Saccharomyces cerevisiae S288C: one gene and its partners. Changing the gene in region 1 together with any one later gene gives a genetic interaction. Each region holds a gene or a part of one and is shown on either strand. Other genes may lie near its edges.

Region 1 (6,522 bases):
ACATATATATATATACTGTGTATATTCAAATGGTGGCCTTTAGCCCATACCGAATTGTTTTGCCATTTGTTGCATTTGTGGATCTTGCATCATTTTCATCATTTCGTTCATATCAGGCATTCCTCCGCCCATTCCTCCGCCCATTCCGCCACCAAACATGTTCATCATATTTTGCATTAGACCTGGATTTTGCTTCAGCTTTTGTTGTGCCTGCTGCATCATTTGTGGAGTCACTTTTGGCATACCAGGCATATTCGGCATACCAGGCATGTTTGGCATACCCGGCATGTTTGGCATGCCAGGCATCCTAGCATTGGCACCAGGGGCTCCTGGTTGTTGCTGGGTTGCGGTTTGTGCCATTCTTGCCATCATCTGCTGTTGCATCAATATCATTTCTACCTCGAACACAGAAGTACCTGAACCTTTAGCTACACGAACCATTCTTGTAGGCTCTTCAATGAACATTCTACCATCAGATTCTAGTTCTTCTTTAGTCATAGAATCCAAAACGTAAACCATTTTCTTCATCTTTTGAGAGGTTTCCTCCTCCCCTACTTGATTCATCATATTACTCATACCAGGAATCATCTGCGCTATATTTGATAATGGACCCATTTTCATTATTGTTTGCATCTGTTTCTTGAAATCTAGCAAGGTGAACTTACCCTTTTGGATGTTTTCCATTGTGGCTTTTGCATCTTCCTTGTTGGAAACGGTTTGTAATTGCTCAAAGAGACTCTCTATATCACCAATACCCAACAGTTTAGATATGAATGACTTAGGCGAGAACTTTTCCAAATCATGAATGTGCTCACCTGTACCAATAAAGATAATCGGAGTGTTTGTGGCTGCAACGGCCGAAATTGCCCCACCCCCTCTAGCGTGGCCGTCCATCTTGGTTAATATAATGGCACCAAAATCGGACGATTCTTTGAAAGCCTTGGATTGTTGCTCTGCAGCTTGACCAATGGAAGCATCTAAAACCATGATAGTTTGATTAGGCTTGATGACATTGGATATTTCAATCATTTCTTGGAACAACTCTTCTTCTTGATGATGCCTACCTGAAGTATCAACGATGATGATATCAAACTTCTCTTTCTTAAACTTGTTAATACCTTCTTCTGCAACTTTGGCAGGGTCAGTCTCCGTATATGACCCATAAAATGGAATTCTTGCTCTTATAGCGTTTTGTTTCAATTGGTCAAATGCACCAGCACGGAAAGTATCCGCACATACCAAACCCACTTTGAAACCTCTCTTCGAGTAGTAAACTGCTAACTTGGTACAGGAAGTAGTTTTACCTGAACCTTGCAGCCCAACAAACATGATGATGTTTGTCTTTCTCTTCTTGGGCACAAAGGCCTTCTCTTCACTACCTTCGCAGGTGACCAACTTACACAGTTCATCAAACACCGTTTTCTGAATAAGCTTCTTAGTTTGTGCGTTTGTTGTGGACTTCTCACTACGGTTCTCACTCAGCAGCTGTGACCTTATATTATTTCGTAACTTAGAAACCAGGGCAATATTCACATCCGATTCTAACAACGCAGTCACGATGCCCTTTAACATTACATCTACGGATGTAGTAAAGTCATCCTGTGTATTGGAAATCGCGTTATTCACAGCAGAATTAATCCGCTTCCCCAAATCAGCCAAAACCATCCTTTAGTTAGACTCGATGCTGTGTTTTCTTTCCCTTCTCTTCTGCATCCTTGCTGTTCAACCACTTTTCATTATCTTGTTTTACCACTATTTTTTTTCACTTTGTTGATGTCTTTATCGTTAGCGGTGATTTTTCGATATTGAGATGAACGAAAAGACCATCATACTATAACAATATGGGTAGTGACTGAAGTATAGGAGAGCCGCAATTGCCGGTCTACAGAACTCACAAGGCATTCGTGAACAATGAACAGTGTTTGGGATGATGCTAGAATAGAGGACAGAACGGTGGACAAACCAGTAGGCTCCTCTCACGCTCAGGAGAAACTCGCGCTGGTAAAATCAACTTTGTTTAAACTTGACCAAGAAGATAGACCAGAATGCGATTCCTGGGTACAACTAGTCAAATTGATCTGCGACGAAGACCGTGAAGAAGAATTTACTACATTCAAGGAGTTATTAAGGGAAGTCAAAAACGTTAATGATAAATCCGTCACAGGCGTTGCCTTGATTCATTATATCATTGTATTTGATCGTGCAGACTACATTGAGTTACTACATGATAATCCTTCTGGTGCAAAATTAGATTTGAATCTTGTCGACGACATTGTAGGTTACACACCTTTGATGTGGAGTTTCAGTCTGCAGAGAAGGAACTGTTGCTTGGAGCTGTTCAACGCATTCGACGAGATAAACTTCAACATGACGAATAAGGCTGGATTAACCGCTTGGGATATGGTTCCTCCATATTCACCACTTTCGGAATTTTTGGAACAAAACAATATGTTTCGATACCGTACCGAAGTAAAACATGAAATACCTCAAATTTCCCAACCGAAAGACACCTCTCTTCTAATGAGTAATGAAGACTCTACCACGAAAGAAACTTTTGATAATATTGACTTACAAGTCGCCGGTTTGACCCTGTCCCCTGGTGCAAATGACAACATGTTTCTGGATTCTGATGAAAAGAACATGAATCATTCTCAGGGAGCTGCAACCCTAATAGATCCCACATATACAGAAGACTACCACGGTACATTTGATTATGATAAACTATCTCCGGACCAATACTTGGAATTTTCCGACTTTGATATACCACAAATCCTGAATCTATTGATATCGCTACCACAAAAGGAACCTCACATGACCACCTATCCAGCTGGTTTAATATACCAATGTATTAGATATGCTGATCATAAGATAAAGTCCAAGCCACTAGTAGAATCGTTAATTAACTTATCTCTAACAAAAATTCTGACCAGTGTTTCATCCAACGGAGCTGCAGGATTGGTCTCCACAGAAGCTTCTTTGCAAGCAGGTGACATTGTATTGCAATCGTATTGGTTAAGTTGTTTATCTTTTCTCTATTACTACCTCTGTAGAGATGATTCATTTTTCAAGAGGCATCCAAGCGTGTTACAAGAGCTGATTAACACCATCCACTCTATTATCATAGAACTGACATCTTCCATTCATTGCAGGTTGATTTCTTTGATAGATTCAACTTTACTAGCATACACAACAATCCAGGACGTTAAACAAACTTTATACAAAAGAGACTGGAACTTTTTTAAAAAGAGAAAGCAGGCCAAGCTTTTATTGAAGGAAAAGAACAGAAAACAATTAAAGGAACAACAAAAGAAAGAACTTCATCGAAAAAGCCAGGGTCAAGAAAATCATGAAGAAGAGGAGGGTCAACAAGATGGGAATGATTCAGATGATAGGGCATCAACAAATGATGATAACAATTCTAGTGTTTCACTCTTTTATGATAAAGAAATTTTGAGACATTTATATCCTCCATCATTCGAAGAGCAGATGAAACCCTCTCCACTAAAGATTGTTCAAATATTTGGTGCCTTGTCTTACGTTCTTAATTTACATCAAACGCATCCGATTTTCCAACAACAGTGTCTCTCTATTTCAGTTAACTGGTTTGCCACGACCTTATTCAATAAGATCTTAAAGGACAAAAAGAAAAGATCTTTATCAAGAGCCCATGCTATTCAAATCAGGTTAAATCTTTCAACTCTAGAATCATGGATACAGAACAACGATTTCTGTGTTCCTAAACCGATGCTTATTGATGACTTCATGTGGCAGCGCTTTCCAATGACTTTAATTCGCGACGTTGGCGAGATAGATTTATCGGATCCGATACTAAGAAATGTAGCAACTTACAAACCTATAGATGAAAATAACAAGGACTTGATATATGATACGTCAAACTCATTATTTTACTACCAACCTTTCCATAAGATCGCCCAAATTCATCTTGAGCCAGTTTTCCAACTATTACAATGGTTGCAAGTAGCTACAACACTAGATAGTGAAGAATCATTAATATCAACAATGAATTTATTACCAAGAATTACACCAGTACAGCTCCTAAAGTCTATGGAAAAATACAATTACGAATTGAATGAAAATAAATTCAACTCCAAACTGAAGAAATTTTTAAACAACAAAATCAAAGATAGTAAGATGAGCAAGGCAGACGCGTATTTACAAGAACATGAAATACCGTATCTAGTTTTACCAACTATACCCGAAATGACAGACTTGTATTCAAAGGGTCCTGATTCACATTCTTTCCAACCGTTTTTACCAGGCAGTATCCAAGACGATGTTTATGAAATTCACGATGTCAACTTCAAACAAAGACAAAATGAACCACAGATATCTCGGACTAACTCGGGTACCTCAGATTTTACTGGAGATGAGGATAAGGCGCAATATGAAACTGAAGGGGTAGGGGAAAGTATAGATATTAACGAAACAGTCGAACCCGAGAGCAACGCGTTCAATGTAGGTAATGATGATTATTTTAAAGAATTAAATATTCCGTCTTCAACTGCTCAACGTCCTGCTTGGTCGAATAATGATGATATGGAACAAAATCCGTGGTAATTTGTGCGTTAGAACAGTGAACTTTTGTATCGAACTTTATATAATAATTCTACGGATGTATCCATCTTATTTCTTTTCAAAAGAATGGAAGAATAGAAATGTAAATAATGAGTTAAAAGGGGCAGTTGCTTGATATTTTGACACGAATTTAGTTACAACATTTTGCATATAGCTTCAAGTGATATTTATTTATTTTTAATATAGTACCGTGGACTCACAGTTTGGGCTCTCGCTGTTCTTCAAATTCTAAATCTTGCTTGAAAAAGCCGTCATTAAAACGATTCTGAGAGGTCTTCTTAACAAAAGCTTGAGAGCTTTCAAGTTTTGAAGCTTTCACATGGGGATCACCATTTTTGAGCGAATTCTGAGAATCATTTGAGGATACAGAAAACTTTCTATTTTCTTTGTTCGCAAACATCTTTGAAGCATTCATATTTGAAGCCGACGGTGGAACTGGAAAATTCTCAGTGTCTTTTTCCTTCCTGCCTTCTAGTTTTGGAGATAGTGTATTTAACGGTTGTGAAGGCCTTCTTGGTACTGGTCTCCTATTAGAAATCATTTTTGGATTGGATGTAAGGATAGGATTATCTGATTCTCTCTCATCTGCTGAATCGTCATTTTTCTTATCTTGAACATCTATTTCATCCATATCTTCGGTGTCACTCGAATTACCAACATTATCCTTATACCATCTACCGATTTTCTTGATTGAATTCTTGAAGTATTTCCTTGACTTGGTAGAATTTTCAGAACTGGAAACATCATCATTAGTCGCGGTTGTGACTGTTGTCTGGGTTGTAGTTTTCGTTGCCACTCCAGATGCGTCAACAAGATCTTTTAGGTTTTCTTTCTTTCTCTCTGGCCTTAAGGCTTTTTTGATTCGACTCTGGGTTTTCATTCCGCCCTCTTGAAGTGCTTCTAAGTGTTCCTTAGCACTAGTATTATTCATATCTGAGGCTGCCGCAGCAGTGCGAGCCCTCGCCGCTGCCTCAGGATCCTGCTCCTCCCAAATACCACCTCTGTATACTTCATTAGGTGTTGGATAAAAAACAATATCATCCATAAACGGTACAACTAGGGACTCCTTCACGGCTTCGGCAAACTTACTCTTTATAGCGTTAGTAACGACGTTGTATGATAATTTACTTGAACTGACAATGGGCTCAATTTCAAAATCCATTATAGGTTCGGTGCGAAAAGCATACCAAATTCTGTTAGATGGAGGTGGTTTGATTAAAAATAAAAGTGGACCGGAAAATTCTTTAATTTTTATGGACAACTGCAAAGAAACCTCCCTTTGTTTGAAACGTGATCCCAAGTTAATACTCGCCTTTGTCGCAATAATAATTGTCAAGTTTCCCCTGTATTGAACGTCGATAGCAATCTTAGTCGAACCCTCAGGAGACAATTCTAATAACTCAGGAGAGGTGAATAATGGAGCACTATCACCCACGTCGACCTTTTCAACAACCAAATCATCCAAGAACCCTGGGGTTTTTATTTTATTCAATTTCTTGCAGATTTTCTCATGAATAAACTTATTCAACGTATCAGTTTGTTGCAGAGAAAGAAATAATCTCCCAAGAAGAGCATTCAGCCACTTAGTAGTTAACTGATTTTCAGTAGAGTTGATATCCTGAATCAATTGTAACATATCCTTAGTCTTCAAATGAGCTGCGTTAGCTGAAACATTAGGATCCAATAAACCAGTTGAGAGGGAATTACTGTTTTTAGAGGCATTGATCAACTGATAATACCAATCTTCTTTGTCCATGTTATTATCGAAATACAAGAAGAACTGATTTGAGCTATGGAATTGTGATTGATATTCATGTGTAGTGTCATTGGTAGAGATGTCACCGTTATTCGATTCAGCACTGGTAAGTGGGTCGAAGTGTGGCAGGATAACATTATGGTTTTTAGAGTCTATAGAAACGAGGTCAT
Region 2 (3,784 bases), on another chromosome or scaffold:
AACTTCGCAAGAATCCTTGAAAAGTAGAATTGAGGATAAAAATGGTGATGTCGCTAGCCCGAAAGAGGATAACTATCCTCTATTGAATGAAACAGCGGCATGGCCAGATGGGGTGATTACCTCTGAAGAAGGATGTTCATCTTCAGGTGAGAAAGAGAATTCAGGCTTATGTTCAGAAGAAAGTTCAGAAGAAGATCCAGAAGAAGCTGAAGAGGAATCTGCAAGGGCTTTTGGAGAGTTAGTTGCAGTCTTGCGGGACAAAGACATACCACTGAATGTATTGGACGAACCTCAGATGAAAGATTGGCTTGAAAAATACACCGGTGTTTATAGAAGCTCTTGGCATGGTTGATTATGAAGAAAATTCCATAATTTTGCGAGGTGGGAGAATACTCTTGGGAAAGTGTTGAGAACAAAAACGCCACTAAAAACAGCAGGATTATTAAAAAGTAAAAAAAAAAAATTCCTTTTCAAGCAGGCAAACAATGGGTTATTTGAATGGAGAAGTATGCTACTATTTCTGCATGTTGTGGATCTAAGGCGATGTGGGCCTAGATTCTTTCCTTTTTTTGTTTTTACCTTAATTATCTTACGTTGTTCTTTCCGTCAGTTTTACACCTGACATGGGACAAGAGAACAAATTGTGAAATAAGTTCAAGCCTCTGTTGACATTTATTGATGTATCTATTTCTTTGAGGGTTAATTAAAGATAACAAATTGCTTTCTTCCGCTAATTTGAGCCTATTGAATTTACTGGGAAATGCCAACGTGGTCAGACATCAATTCAAGAAGTTTAGTTCTCAGAGAGTGTAACTTGCCTGTTTGGTCGCTGCAGTGAAACTGCCATTAGCTCTTTAGAACAACGTTCTAACTATACGAGGACCATATTACGTAAATCAACAAACCTCAAGAATTAGTGTCATATTTTCTCGCAGATATTACTACTGACATTCAGTCAGCTATATCCATTATGCATGAGCGAAAAAAAAGTGCATACAAAAAAGCTTATTTATTGGACTTAATAAACGAAACTATGTAGTGCCGAACCTTCGGATACTGATCATTGGAGTGATTTGATAAAGTTTCTGCAGAATTCTGGGAAATGAAGGAAATGACGTAGCGAGGCCTTCATGCAACACTAGTTGAAATTGAAAAAAAAAAAAACCTTATAAGCTATCTTTCCTATACGTCCTCTATCGACTATATAACCCAAGCAGCTGTTTCATATTTTTTGCAAGAATAACCTCCAAATATTCCTGGCAGCTTGTATGCCATTGTTATCCAGCTCCTGGCACTGTCTTTCGTATCTATTAAACTCTTCAAGGGTAAGCTTGTCTTGAGACTTCAAAAGCCCCTTCTGAGCGACATCACTATTGAATTCAGGGTGTCCTTGAAACGTCAGCACTCTGTTTTGCCTGTAAAATCCTTGGTTTTGACATTTTTCACTTGACGCCCAATTTTGGTATCCCTCTGGGACATCGAACACGCAGTCACTGTGCACTTCAGAAAGATTTAATTCTTGAGCACCAAATAACTTTTGACCCACAGAGTTCAGTTTTAGTGACACAACCCCACCTTCAAACCCTTTCGGATTCCGTCCAACTGAACTTCCTAGAGCAGCCGCGATAACTTGATGACCAAAACATATTCCAGCTACGGGCGGATATTCAGTCTTGCTAGTTAGCATCTCATTTAAGAAACTTCTTAATTTCATAATCCATTCAATTTCATTATCAAATGAATCATATTTTGAACCAGTGATGTATATGCCTAAATACTCATCTTTCTGAAGATCTGACAATTGAGGGAACACGTTTTTTTGTACGTGGAACACTTCATATTCGACATCTTCTGCGATACATTCCAATTTCCTGGTCTGTTCTAATAGCTTGATAGCCATATCAACAAAATTGCCCCATGGTTTACTCCATTCGTTATCTTCATCTGTATAAAGAATAGCTATTTTTTTTACTGTCATTATGATGTTTTCTTAGTATTTTTTTGATATAATTCAATTCTAATATATGTTAATGCATAATTTTCAGAGCTATAGCGGTATATATTTCAAACTTTCTCAATTATCTATGTGAAATTATAAACCTTATCTGTCTTTTCTTCTGTACACCTCATCTGCCACTTCCCACTTTGGCGCGCGTTGACATTTTGCGACAAAAAGAGATTGTTCGTGGCAGTCGTGTAAAAAACTGCACCTCAATCATGAGTTTTTATGCCCATTTTTCACTATTTCATATGAACCATTGGCAATGTACTTCAGCCTACCCTCATCGGCCAGAGTGTTTAAATATCCCTCTAATTGTTGAAGAGTAATTCGGTTATATCCCCAATCTTTTGGCACGGTAATTTTCAAAAAAGAATGGATCTTATGAAGTTTCATTGCGCCTAAATTAGTCAGCATTCCTTCGATGAATGGCAGACTTCTTTGAAGTGTCAATTCATATTTTCTTTCTATCTCAGAATCGTTATGTAGTTCATAGTTACTGTTCTCAATCTCCATTGGGGCGGTCTTTTGTGCTTGATCAAAATCCATCTCGCTATGTTCAATAACGGAATAGGTTCCATTTTCTTTTAAAAGCACACCTTTTTGAATCCAGAAATCTAACAAATGAGTTAGCCTGGGAGGAGCAATATTTAGTGACTCAGAAAGCTGCTCTAGTGATAAACAAATTGGCTCATCATTTGGAGAATCAAACTGATTTATTACGCTGCATTGTTCTAAAGAAACGTCTAACACTAATTTCCTACCATCTTTGAAAGCTAATTGTATTTCTACTTTTCCTTTATCTTTGCATAGTTGTAACTTGCGCCCAGGTTTCAGCTGTGAGTATATATCAGAATACTTCTGTAGCTCCCTTTCTAAATCTATTGGTAAATGAAATGCAAGATCATTAGAACCTTGTGTATCGCAGTTGTACTTCCAGTAGAGGAGTGAGATAAATTTTGGAAATATTATGGGATCCAGTCCGGCTACTTCATGCATTTTACGGCAGAGCTCCTCGCTACATTTTATATCCCAAAGCATAACATCAATGCTATTCAAATTCGACTGGTCTGCATCTGCTGCAGGGGCTGTTGTTTCTAGGAGTCCTAATATACCGTTTGTTATATAATTGGAATGACTTGTTTCTGTGAATTTGACTATTTTTTCTCTTATTAATTTCAAACATCGGGTCCATTTTTCATCCAACGTATAAAATTTCAAAGTGAATAATCTGTCGGTTAAGAGATTTCGAAATTCTGATATGAAAAATTCTCTTGATTCAAATAGATCCAAAAGCACCTCAAACAAATTTGTCTTAATATAACTTGATTTGATGTTACCGGGAATCATGTCATTAGGCTCTGGTACCCAAGCTATATAATAATTGAGTATATGTTCGTATAGCATGGCGTGTCTTATTGGTAGGTCCTTGTTCAATTCCCTCTTTCCTTTCACCTTGAGGTTCCATAGAAAGGGGCTTTTTTTATTCTTGTCCCTTTTGGTGATGTTCGTATCTTGATTGATATCAGAATCGTGCAAAGTGTCTACAAGTGAGAGCAGTGCCTTCATATCTACATTGAAATTAATTTTCTCCTTTAGTTCTTCTTCAGGTAAGTCCAACATTGCGTATAACAATACATTTACTAAGTGCTTCCGCTCCTGAAAGTAAGGTTTAACAAACGTGGTTATTGAATGTAGGCATCTCCCTGTTGGATCCAGGACCAAAAATGCTTTGATAGTTTTAACATATCTCAACAAAGCGTCCACCGTAGTTACGCTGGGGTT
Region 3 (4,343 bases), on another chromosome or scaffold:
TCTTAGTATGTTTTTACAGATATAACCTATCCTTCACTAACTTTGAAGAGAGAATTGCTATTTGAGAATTTCCAAACGTACATCAAGCAGTTTATATATCTAGTCCCCGTAACTACTGGGAGATCTAACCAAATAGCTTCTTTATTATATTCATTTCTCTGAGCAAAATAGATATTTTTGAAAAATTTTCCTCTAGTTTCTTTTCAGAGATGTCTCTCTATTATTAGCCTCATACAATACCGCCTAGGGCGATTCAGCAGAACAGTAATTATTCCGCTGTATTTCTTTTTCAGGTGCCTCAAACGTCTATAGAACAGCGCGCAGCAGGTTGAGAAAAATGTCAAAAATTCGATCCTTTCCTATCTTTTCTTTTTCGGACGCCAAAGCGCAGTATTCAACCGACGATGTTCGGGAAGCCACCCCCGAGATCATAATAACAGGTGCGTTGTGACTCTATTGTTAACACGAGGGAAAAGATGGAATAATTTTGGAGAAACACAATGTCGTTCTAGCGGGAAAAAAGGGCAAAACCAAAAAACACGGAGTCTGTCCAATATTAATTTGGTTAAAGCAGTTCGTATAACCAAACTTTATTGGCATTGTCCGTCGACTAGTCTATTTTTATTTCTCTCAACCTTTCGAGTACTTGGAAAAAGGAGTAGATCCGCTTTCAGCAATCGAAGCAATAGGCATTAGGGGTAGAGCAATCCTCAAAATCCTTGTGCCTCGACTGTGGGTTCTAGTATGATCGCTATTTTTTCTTATTCTTTCCTAGTTAAAGCAATAGTTGTTCGTTCTATAAGTTTTTCCGCGAGATCGTGGAAATACCTTAAAAAAGACGCGTGTATGGCTCCTGCATGCGAATCTTCTCTTTTGCTTTGTAATCGCATGTGAGATAATCAAGGGATTGTAGCCATTGTTTTCGAAAAATAATAAAATGACCGCACTTTATCCTCCACGGAGCGGAAGGCCATTCCCGTACGCATATTAATGTAAATGAGATAAATAACCAAATAAGTACCGCCACATCGGATTTTTAACCTTGATATGGTGCGGGGGTGGGGTAACAGTTTAGGATCTTGAAGTAATGCTAGCAACAGAGGTAGTAGCAGTAAATAAGATAAAAAAGACCTTCGAGGGTTTTTTTTTTGATTATATATTTGATATAGTACTAAGTGTCCTACCTTGAATGATGGTTTGTACTCAATAGTATTACTTCATATTATGCCTGACGTCCATCTTTTTTGGAAAGCCCCCATTTGTCATAACCGTACAATCCGGCAATTGTCAAGATAACACCAAACACCTGAAAAAAATTTAACTTTGTTTCCCAAAAGAGTGCCACGGATATAACAACAATCCTCTTCATGATGTTTGCTACCGAATAATTAATGGAAGATAGTAAACCGATCAACTGGAAAGCAAGCATTGCTTGGAAAAAATGGGCTATTCCATGAATCGCTACAAGGGCTACTGTTTCTAGCGTTAAATCGTTGATAACGCTACCGCCATGCATTAATTCGCCGGTTAAAAAAGGTAATAGGGTTAAAGAAAACCCAATGCAGGAGCAGTAGAACAATATGGTAATCTTATCCACTTGCAATGGAGAAAATCTTGTTTTGTCTAGACTCGGTTGCCCTTCCTTCGACGTGACGTCATCCGTAGAAGAAGACGGCAGTATTCCTACCTTCCTTCTGATGGTTAAAATATTCTTTGCAAAAATATTCTGTGCTACAAATATTATCATGGAAATAAAGGCAAAAAGCAACCCGATTAATGAAGATCCGCTTTTGTTATCTGAAGCCCTCTTACTGCCATGTGTTGACCAGCAAGTAGTCATAACGCCAAAAATTAAAAGTAACAAGGTATAATAAGTCATGGAATTGTAATAACGATGTTCGAAAAATTTATAGTAGCCAACTGTTATTATTGGGGATAATGCCTTCACGGAATGCACTAGTGATACTGGTATCATAGATACCGCCTTGTGCGATGTGATATGACCAATAAATTGGAATATTCCCATAGGGAAAGTGGTCATCAAAACCAGCTTTGAGGGAACTAAAAACTTGTGCAGGATAGAACTCCTGAAATTGCCATCGAGATATTCAGGAAGGATACCGTCAGGGAAACTATTGAGTGCCTTTGAAAACTTCGTATGCTTCAAACGAGGTAGTCGGAATAAATTTACGATGGAAGCAAATCCAACACATAGAACAGCACTAACAAGAAATTGCAATTCTGTGAGAGCTATGGGATGGTTGAAAGTTCTTAAAATGGCTTTAGATAGGTTACTTGAAATAGATGACGTGACGTACCATATAGAACAAATAATGGTTATTCTTAGGTCAACTTCAGGTAAGTACCCTTGTATATTACTAGGAAATAGTTGCGTGAATCTTTTTTTAAGGCTAGTAATATCATATCCAAAGACTTGATTACTGAATGTCTCCTTACTGTATTCTTTTTTTTGGTGTTGGAACCCCCCACGTGGTGGTTCTGGTATTTGATACAGTGATGGATCAAAGAGGTTTTTATGAACAGAATTACGTCGTTTGATCGCTGTACTTTGCGTTTGAATCATGTTAGGCCGGTATTGTTTCTCCTTTATAAAAACGAATGGCTCCTTATTAAACACTTTTATCGTCAATCCACTTACTCTCTAAATATCGTAAGCTTTGCATATATAAGCATATAATAAAAATAGTTGGTATATGCTGCACGTGTAGTCTAATGTTCTTTTCTTTTTTTTCTTTATTCTTTTTTCTCCTCTTTATGAATACAGATATTCAATTTTTTGAATATCTGATTGTTTTTATTTTCATTTCAATTTTTTTTTTTTTTCAATTTTTTTTATCCGATCGTTGCGCCAAGCTTCTATCGCTTAAAACAATGACACTTCGCTGTGAAATGACACAATGGCTTGAGATTCAGGCACAACGCAAAAGGTCTTTACAAATGTATATCACAGAATATTAATGTTTGAAAAGTACTTCCGAATTCAAGGCCACCACGTAGCCTTATACACCAAATACAATTATACACAGGTTTCAAACTTGAGAAAAACAAGATATTGAATATTAAAAGCTGGGGCTAGTAGAATTTGCTGATTAGGTTAATTGTCATCAAATTCAAACAAACTACCATTTTCAGGGGTATTTTTCCTTGCTTCAATTCTGGATTTCATTTTTGCTCTCTTTTTCTTGTTGCTTTTTGTACCATGAAATTTCTGTGACAGTTTTTTATATGCCTCCTTAGTAGTCAGTCGATTTCCCTTTTCGTCTCTGTAAACCAGTTTTATGTCAGGATCATAATGATCTTGTCTTTTTGAATGAGTATTTGCATTGGAAGAGTCACTAGATGTGAATTGTTCCAGTCCGTGTAGCTTATCTTTTGTATAAGTGCCAGTGCCCGTATGCTCTTTATTTCGGACATCCCTTCGAAGTGATTCACTATTATTAACATCCTTTCCTGGTTTCAAATCGACGTCTCCTGTGGTGAAAACACTCTTTTTCCGAAGATATCCTAGTGTTGATGCAAGACCAGAAAAAAAGTTCGGTGCATTTTCAGCATCTCCCTCGTAGTTTGGTTCATTATTAACTGCTTCAGTCAGTGTATTGTTTCCACTCCCTTCCTTAGTATGTCCATTGGTAACATCTCCGATATTTTTCTCTCCTTCACCATGCACTTTCACTTTATTCTCAGTAGCACTTCGTTCGGAGAGACTGGTATCCAAAGTATTTAAAAAAGTTACCTTTTCGTCGACGACAATACTGTTGGAAATTTCACGCATTTTCAAAATGCTTTCAGTGCGTCGCTTCTCTTCGTCTCTTGCCTTTTCAATTTCTCTAGCGAGGTCCTCTGGCCCTTTCAATTCATTGTTTGAGCTTGTTCTGGGATTTATTATGGTGACTGGCTGTTCTTCTTCCATCCAGGATAAACTTTCATCTTCATCTACTAACTTAACAATTTCCATCTTATCAGTAATTTTTGACTTCCTAGCTTTAGTAGATCTTGGGTCCTTGATCTTACGTTTTTTAATTTTTAAAGGTTTAAAGTCTCCACCATCTTCATCTGACATATTATTTGCGCTATCGAAATTCACTTTAACTTTTCCCGTTGGTGGTTTTGCTGATATAGTATTCGGTGCCTTCATAACACCCTGTTCTGCTCCGATGATTAGATGTGTAGTTGTAATTGAGTGTTTCTCTCCTTCTTCTTCTTCTTCAATATCTAAGCTAGATACATTTAAAATTTTTTTTTTTTGTCTTCTATCTTTATTCATTTGTCGTAATCGTAGTTTCTCTCTATCAGCGTTTTCCTCGGCAGCTTTCACATTCTCT

What was found. A genetic interaction does not mean that the proteins touch.
Region 2: mutations in YPR089W (region 1) and YLR126C together harm fitness more than expected from each alone (negative genetic interaction), as found in Saccharomyces cerevisiae (2 studies listed by BioGRID).
Region 3: mutations in YPR089W (region 1) and SLY41 together harm fitness more than expected from each alone (negative genetic interaction), as found in Saccharomyces cerevisiae (2 studies listed by BioGRID).

Annotation. Positions count from the first base shown.
Region 1 is NC_001148.4:711,364-717,885, forward strand, and holds YPR089W (uncharacterized protein), read left to right. Parts: upstream 1-1,911; coding exon 1,912-4,578; downstream 4,579-6,522. Other genes in the region: RNA-binding signal recognition particle subunit SRP54, read right to left, coding at 40-1,665; NVJ2 (Nvj2p), read right to left, coding at 4,793-6,522.
Region 2 is NC_001144.5:393,543-397,326, forward strand, and holds YLR126C (putative amidotransferase), read right to left. Parts: upstream 1,979-3,784; coding exon 1,223-1,978; downstream 1-1,222. Other genes in the region: YLR125W (uncharacterized protein), read left to right, coding at 1-352; APC2 (anaphase promoting complex subunit 2), read right to left, coding at 2,216-3,784. UniProt on the Saccharomyces cerevisiae protein: May have a role in copper and iron homeostasis.
Region 3 is NC_001147.6:891,509-895,851, forward strand, and holds SLY41 (Sly41p), read right to left. Parts: upstream 2,585-4,343; coding exon 1,223-2,584; downstream 1-1,222. Other genes in the region: U4/U6-U5 snRNP complex subunit SNU66, read right to left, coding at 3,116-4,343. UniProt on the Saccharomyces cerevisiae protein: Able to suppress the functional loss of YPT1. May form a channel. Protein SLY41 is not essential for cell viability. The SLY41 gene is a multicopy suppressor.